Linked DNA regions of Coturnix japonica. The protein of the gene in region 1 binds, or shares a complex with, the protein of each later gene. Links are inferred from orthologs where the notes say so. Each region holds a gene or a part of one and is shown in the gene's direction. Other genes may lie near its edges.

Evidence for each region.
Region 2: the proteins of BRAT1 (region 1) and INTS11 are in contact, whole or in part, in a cryo-EM structure (PDB 8UIB), measured with the Homo sapiens proteins. The link is inferred for Coturnix japonica from reciprocal best matches to the Homo sapiens genes BRAT1 and INTS11. Residues at the interface, in NP_689956.2 of Homo sapiens: Asp25, Thr27, Cys28, Glu30, Lys31, Asp34, Pro117, Ser156, Ser157, Leu158, Phe159, Ser162, Lys358, Ser359, Cys366, Arg367, Arg424, Arg427, Thr465, Lys468, Lys469, Trp514, Glu515, Asp518, Ser519, Glu522, Tyr560, Ser564, Ser604, Glu605; in NP_060341.2 of Homo sapiens: Leu9, Val15, Gly16, Lys27, Met35, His36, Met37, Gly38, Phe39, Arg43, Asp47, Tyr50, Thr58, Asp59, Asp62, His70, Leu71, Asp72, His73, Asp87, Gly88, Gln97, Pro101, Ile102, Glu105, Arg108, Lys109, Val112, Asp113, Lys114.

Annotation. Positions count from the first base shown.
Region 1 is NC_029529.1:3,418,512-3,421,694, forward strand, and holds the end of BRAT1 (BRCA1-associated ATM activator 1), read left to right. Parts: intron 1-198; coding exon 199-295; intron 296-582; coding exon 583-681; intron 682-1,309; coding exon 1,310-1,491; intron 1,492-1,597; coding exon 1,598-2,317; 3' UTR 2,318-2,580; downstream 2,581-3,183. UniProt on the Homo sapiens protein: Component of a multiprotein complex required for the assembly of the RNA endonuclease module of the integrator complex.
Region 2 is NC_029536.1:1,977,360-1,981,615, forward strand, and holds the end of INTS11 (integrator complex subunit 11), read left to right. Parts: intron 1-136; coding exon 137-326; intron 327-499; coding exon 500-583; intron 584-703; coding exon 704-793; intron 794-1,068; coding exon 1,069-1,231; intron 1,232-1,739; coding exon 1,740-1,847; intron 1,848-2,249; coding exon 2,250-2,311; intron 2,312-2,402; coding exon 2,403-2,545; intron 2,546-2,674; coding exon 2,675-2,804; intron 2,805-3,096; exon of another isoform or gene 3,097-3,348; coding exon 3,349-3,414; 3' UTR 3,415-3,503; downstream 3,504-4,256.

The DNA of each region.
Region 1 (3,183 bases):
TTGACCAATAAATCAAATGCTCTTGAAAATACAGGAGCCACCATGTCTAACTGTAGAACCAATATAATCAACTCGACTGCGCTCTAATTTCTTCTGACAATTTCACTGTAATTTTGAGTCCAAAAAAGAAATGTATCTAGCATAAAGACAGCAGCACCTTCTCCTGCAGTAAAGTACATCTGCTTTGTATTTCTTCAGGTTCTGAAGAAATCATTTAAAGCTATGTCCACATGGTTGATGTGCTTGCCAGGAATGTTCTTCAAAAATAAGCAACTAACTGAGAAGATTTTGCAAGGTAACAAAGCTACTGAAGTTAGGACAAACAGCAGCTGGTGGCACATCTGAAATGTGCTCTCACCTGCTTTTCCCACCTAAAACACTTAGGATTTGTTTGCTTGCTTGCATTTGTGGTGAGTTTAGTTGTATTTGCTTATATAGTGCTTCTAAGAACTATGAGAGAAGCTCACTCACAGCATCAACAAAAGGGGTCACATCACAGAAAACAGTGCAGAGGTTGTACAGTGGCTTGGTTGGGTTTGTTACCTTTCGTGTCAATTCACGCCTCTTCCTTGGCTTTCACAGATGTATTTCTGGTGCTGCAGAAGCGTTTGTGCAGTCCTTGTTGGGAAGTACGAGATTCTTCTCTGGAGTTCCTCACCAACTTGATTGAAAACCTGAGAGGTACGTGCAGAGATTTAATGGCTCAGATTAGAGTACTGTTTCTTGTAGCGTTAGGAAAGTCAGTCAGGCCTTTGGAGCATCCTCTGACCTGTAACTGCAGGGGGAAAGAAGGAAGGAAGGAAAAGATACGTTGAGATTTTTACTTTCAGATCACAGTCAAAGTCTGTCAAAAAGATTAATAAACTTACATTAGCATTCTGTTGAAATTGAATTGCTGTGTCCTCCTTAAAGACAGCTTTAGCAAATTAAACTATGTTACCTGGCTTGACAGTAGTAAGGGATGAGCATTTCTTTTTATTCTCCTTCCTTAAACAAAAGTTGCTTTATAGGGCTGAAGCCACATTCCAATTTACCTGGAGCAAATTTTTTCTCACCAATAGAAGCAACCATAGATGCATTTTTCCAAGCTGTGTCAAATATGGTATGACTAGAAGTCACAACACTGCTAAAAGATGGGGAGCCTGACAGAAACTGTCTGCGCTGCTGCGAGCAGCAGCTCTGTTCACTGACAGCTGCCCTGCAGTCAGTGAGCCTCCTTTTATGACACAGATCACTGTTTGCATTGGAAACAAATTCATGCTCTGAGAGAATAAAGCCTCACTTCTTTGCCTTGCTGTCTCCTTTACAGACTACGATGAGTTCAAGCAGTCTCTCCTGTCTTCAGAGGTGCCAAAGCTTACAGAAAATCTTCTTGAGGATCCAGAGAGCTACGTGCGAGCGAGCGCTGTGACTGCTATGGGACACCTGGCCTTCATTACTTACTTCTTAGTCCCAGAGTCGCCTGTTGCAGGGAATCAGTATGATAAAGAGGTATGACTTCGTGTAATCCGCTGCAAGCACGAGCAGAACTACACGTTGTTTTACTGCTTTTAGTTTGTTTTTAATGCTCCTCTTCTCTTTGTCTTTTTACATTTAGAAAACTGTGGCAAAGCTTCAAGAAATCTTGTCCACAGACCCAGAGGGCTTTCCTAGGAGAGCCGTGATGAGCGTCTTCACCATGTGGCTTAATGAGAGCTGCACAGGTCAACTGGAAGAGACAGTGCAGTTTGTCTCTACAGTGGTCCAGACCGCAGCACATGACTTAGACTGGGAAGTCAAACTTGGTTGTTTGGAACTGGTTCAGATTTTCTGTGACCACATGTTTTGTCGTTTTGGCCTTCCTGAATGCTATTATGCTCCTGTCTCATCTGCAGCCAGTCGTTCTAACGAGCCACTGCAGATATTTTGCCGAGCGAACCTGTTCAGCTTCTTGTTTCAGTCATTGTGTGACTGTGACAAGCCAGTGGGTCAGAAAGCCTGTGATATATTGCTTGACTTAAAAACTCATTTCTGTCGAAACAAAACCAAAAATTCACAAGGGACTGAAGATTTACCTGAAGTCTATGGCATTTTTTGGTTACAAAGGACACTAAAACAAGGTTGTCTGGTCCAGAACTTCCCCACAGATGATGATAACAGAGTGGACTTTAAGGATCCAGAGAGCATGTTGTTAGCTTTGAGAACAATAGACTTAGTGGAACTGCGCAATGACCTAAACAAATGTAGTGACTATGTGGAGAAAAGCCCCCAGTCCCTCTTAGAGGACATCCTTGCTACTATGGGGACCATAGAGGAGAATGAAGCTGACTGCTACTAAAGCCATCTTTTGCTTTGAGGGAATGGTACTTACACAGGTTTCTTGTGAAGAGAGTTTTTGCTACCAAAGTCTTTTGTGAGAGGAGATAGTAGGAAGTGTTACTCTGTACAGAGAAAAGGGAATGGTTTTGTTAGCTGTTATAGAAAAAAATCTTTGTTTCAATACTGATGGTTTCTCTTATTTTTAAGTCTGTTCTCTGATGGATGGATCTGCCTGCTTTATTTTTTTAAGTAAATAAATGCATTTCTTCTGCTTTTGCCTCATATGCTCAGAATCAGCAGTGCTGTAGCCGTGCAGCCCCTGCAGGAGGCAGATTTCCCCATCCAGATGCTACAGACTATTTAAGCAAAAGCAGCGGCCAGGCACAGGGCTCCTGTCGCATCAGCTCTGTCAGTTACTTGAATGTGGCCTGTGGGTAGCAGGCAGCAGCTACACAAGTGATAACAACGCAGAGCATCGCAGATGAGAAAAACCCACATCTCTGAGAGCAAGTACTGCGAACAAAGAAGATTACAGAGCTCTTTTCAGCTCCTTATCTGAACAAGGGGCAGTGTGAGTTCTGCTGCCTGATCTGTACACAGGTATGAAATTCCAAGAACCATTTGTAACAACAAAACACTGAGTAAAGGATTTATCCTCTTACTGCTCAGACTCACATTGATGTGGCAGAGAAGTGTTTGGCTCAGCCTGTCACGCATCCCCTTCCCAAACAAAGCCCCAGTGTGAGTTGCTCCCCGGCTCATCTCTCACCCCATGCAGTGGTCACACTGTGTGCAAGGGGGAAGCATGAAGTGCAGGACAATGATTCTGGTGGTCCCATTTGGGGGTTACTCCTTGGTTAGACCAGGCCAGGTGTAAAGTAGCAC
Region 2 (4,256 bases), on another chromosome or scaffold:
TATCACTATGTTGACTGATGGATTCCTCAGAGTGTGTTGTGCCCAGAAGTCTTTGGAGACTACAGAAGACTTTGAGCATAGAGAAACAAGATACTGATTTGATCCTTACCTGTTTCTGGATTCCTTCTTTCTTCAGGGAAAGAATGAACTTGAAAGCTCCAATTTATTTTTCCACTGGGCTGACGGAGAAGGCTAATCATTATTACAAGCTCTTCATCACATGGACTAATCAGAAGATCCGGAAAACGTTTGTGCAGAGAAACATGTTTGAGTTCAAACACATCAAAGCATTTGATCGAGCCTTTGCAGATAATCCAGGACCAATGGTAGGTTGGCATCAATGGCTGAGGCCCCATTACAGCCTTGTTGAATTAAGTGTGCTGTAATGTGTATTTAGTGGATTCTCTTCACAGTTTTAGGAAATTTATATGTAATGATATTTTAAATAAGCAACACATGCTTTTTCTGCTGTTATTTTTGACACATCTTTGAATTCTAGGTAGTGTTTGCAACCCCTGGTATGCTTCATGCAGGGCAATCCTTGCAGATCTTCAGGAAATGGGCAGGGAACGAAAAGAATATGGTAAGGAATTCTGTTTCCTAAGTGATATTTTGCATTAATGCAATAGTGTTACAGATACCATTGTCAGAACAAAGGCTTTCCTGAGCATGTGGGGCTAAATGATCCTGGTTTCTTTCTCAGGTCATCATGCCAGGCTATTGTGTGCAGGGAACAGTGGGCCATAAGATTCTGAGTGGACAACGCAAGCTGGAAATGGAAGGAAGACAAATAGTAAGTGTTATTTTTAATGAGGATTGTGGGGGGAAGCTTTTTGGGACTTTAGGTGGCAGTTAGACACCACATGTCATATAGATAGATAGATAGATATGTCCCAGGGCACTTGGATTGGGAAATCAGGTTGGAGAGATCAAGTATTCCCAATCCAAGTGTTCTACGTCCTTTTTAAGGTAAACATGAAGAGGTCTCAGTCAGTTTGCATATGGTATACAAGGCAAAGTTGCTCCTGATTCACAGCACCTGTGCTTCCCACCACCCTCCTCTTACAGCTGGAAGTAAAGATGCAAGTGGAGTACATGTCCTTCAGTGCCCATGCTGATGCCAAGGGAATCATGCAGCTGATTCGCCAGGCTGAGCCACGCAATGTCCTGCTGGTCCACGGGGAAGCAAAGAAAATGGAGTTTCTGAAGCAGAAAATAGAGCAGGAATTTCGTACGTACACTTTTGATAATGAAAACAGTAGAAAGAAGAAGGAAAGCTTTATGTAATTAATTTACTGGTAATCAGCGTAGAGTTAGGAATAGTGTCATTTACAGAACCTGTCATCCTCAGGAAATCAGTGTCTGTAGTGTATAATGACACTAAGTCAGTATACACTAAGCCCATTTAATTTTAATGTCCATTAGGCTTCTAGTGATGTTACATCATGATTGTGGTGTTACGTTGTGATGTTTCACTTGTATTGTTATGGTTCAGCATTTACTGCATTTGCATTTCTTCAGACTTAGAAGCAGCAGAGGCAGGTGTGTATCAGAAATGTTAATTTAGCAACATTAATTATGAGGAATTGGGTCCAGATGGGGTGGGAATAAGTGATTTCTGACTTAAAAGATGAGCAGAGAAAGCAAGGAATGCATGCTGGGGGGCTGTTTAGTTTCAGTACTTTGTTATGGGCATCAGAATGCTGCACTGATCCTTATGTTGTTTCTTTATGCTGCAGATGTCAACTGTTACATGCCTGCAAATGGAGAGACCACAACTATATTTACCAATCCCAGCATCCCAGTGGACATCTCCTTGGGACTCTTGAAGAGAGAAACAGCAATAGGTGACACATCTCTCAACCAAGAATTACATTATTTGGGGTCCTGCCCCTCAACTGCAATTTTAGCACGTGAATTAGGTGGAAACAGCATTGCTGGGCTATTTGTAGCAGCCCCTCCTGTGTAAGAACAGGTTGTACAGTGTTTCAGTGGGTGAGAAGGGCTTCGGTGAAGTGAGGTAACTACTGTGCTGGGGATGGGTGTTCAGTAGTGCTTAACAACAACAAAAAAAACGGGCACAAAATGACCTTGCTTGCTCCACATTGCCCATTTGCTATGAAAATTCAGTCCAATTATGCTTTTGCTGAGACTTGGAAATCCATTGAGTTCTAGAGCAGTTGTCTTCCATGTGTAACAAGCAAGCATGGTATCATTAACTCTGTTGTCTTTCTCTTCCCTTGGCTTAGGTCTCTTACCAGATGCCAAGAAGCCAAAGCTTATGCATGGCACGCTGATTATGAAGGATAATGTAAGTAATGCGTAGGGGCTACAGAGAGGGAATAAAACCCCAGTGTGCACAAGGAAATAGTTTGTAATGGGTTTGCACTCTTCCTCTGCAGAGCTTCCGCCTGGTTTCTCCTGAGCAGGCCCTGAAGGAGCTGGGCCTTGCAGAACACCAGCTGCGCTTCACCTGCCGTGTTCACATTCAGGACCCACGGAAAGAACATGAGACCGTGCTCCGTGTGTACAACCATCTCAAAGGGTAAACCCCTTCTTGGTTGCATTTGGCTGTTTTTTCCCCTTGGGCTGAATGACTGCAGATGCACTCAAGGTTTTGGCCAAACTAATGCAGTCCCCTCTAAAATAAATTGCATACATTCTGTCTCACCAGGGTCCTGAAGGATTACTCAGTGCAGCATCTCCCTGATGGTTCTATAACAGTCGAGTCCATTCTTATCCAAGCCACAGCACACTCAGAGGATCAAGGAACCAAAGTTCTGCTCGTATCCTGGACTTACCAGGTAGGAATACATGAAAACATACATTTCAAGCAATTCTAATTGGTCTCAACATCTTACAGTCCAAAACAGGCCTGCAAGGGAACAACAGAGGGTGGGCATATTTTATGAAGTAGGCATGAAACTTCAGCCTGTAACCAGTAAGTTCATCAAGGCAGAGCTGTGCTACGATCAGATAGTCGTTCTCCTCAAGAATATACTTCTTACAGCTGCATTTTGAATGCTCTTTTTTATAGCGAGGATCTGCCTTCTTGAAAGCAGAGCACACAAAAAATAATTCAACAGATCTTCATTCTTTGCTGTCCAGAAAAATCATTTATTCTGAAAGAGAGAAGTTGGACATCCAGACACCTTATTTGACAAGCACAAGTTTTAGGCTGGTATCTTGAAAGAACAACTAGGAATACATTTGTGCTAACTGTGTTCATTTCTGTTTTTGAACACTGCTGCTGTTGCATCCAAGAGTTATTTTAGCCCATTCTTAGGTAGCAGAAATGGGAAAGAGTCAAGCAGACAATCAATTTCATCCTGATTTTCTTTTCTATAGGATGAAGAATTAGGCAGCTATCTCACATCCCTGCTGAAAAAGGGACTGCCCCAGAGTACATCTTGAGCCACAGAGCAGCAGGCACAGTTGGTGCTTCAGAGAAATACAGATCTTATTTTGTTTACGTTATTAAAACAAAACTAGAAAAACATTTGCCAGAGGAACTTCAGTGTCTGTTCATTAGCCACAGTGAGAGTGTTCAGCAGTACTGCAGTCTTCTATTGGAAACAGGTCTAGGTTGTCACTGCAGCCTGTTTTTAAGAAGTCCTGAAGAACAAACTTCACATCACTTACACAGTAAGGTAAGAGACTGAGCATTCTTTTACTCCCACAGCTTGTTTTCTTTAAAACCTCAGCAAAGCCATTCTAGCTTTGTGTTCACAAAAGTAACTAGAAGCAACAGCCGTGCAATGAGCCCTTTCCTGCACTGACGTGAAGGCCTGGGCTCAGTGCATGGGGCAGAACAGCTCCCTGGGCTTTAGCCATTAAGGGCATCATTATTATCAGGGAGTCTTCTCATTGAGGCACCAAAACAAGGAGCTTTCAAAGCTTCAAAATTAAAAAGCAAAGCAGAAATCTAATGTAGGCAGAAGTATGAAGCTTTAAACATACTGTTTACCCAACAGCTTCACTTTCATTGAGGGAAGTATGAGTAACAGCTGAGAAGCCTTGAAGAAACCTGAACCTTCTTGATATAGTTTCTAGTCAAATATATATATAAATCCTCCTCTGTCCACACCATAACATTTGTGGTTAGTTGCCAAGAAGTCGCTGCAATGCTGGAAGTCCTTCTATGTTAAGGGAGGTAGATAGAAAGGAACAGAGCAGTGGGGCTGTTCAGCTGTTAGCAAAATCTTATCCTTTGAAGTCACTGGCTTTTAAGCAAGTTGAGTCAGGCCAGTGGCCTT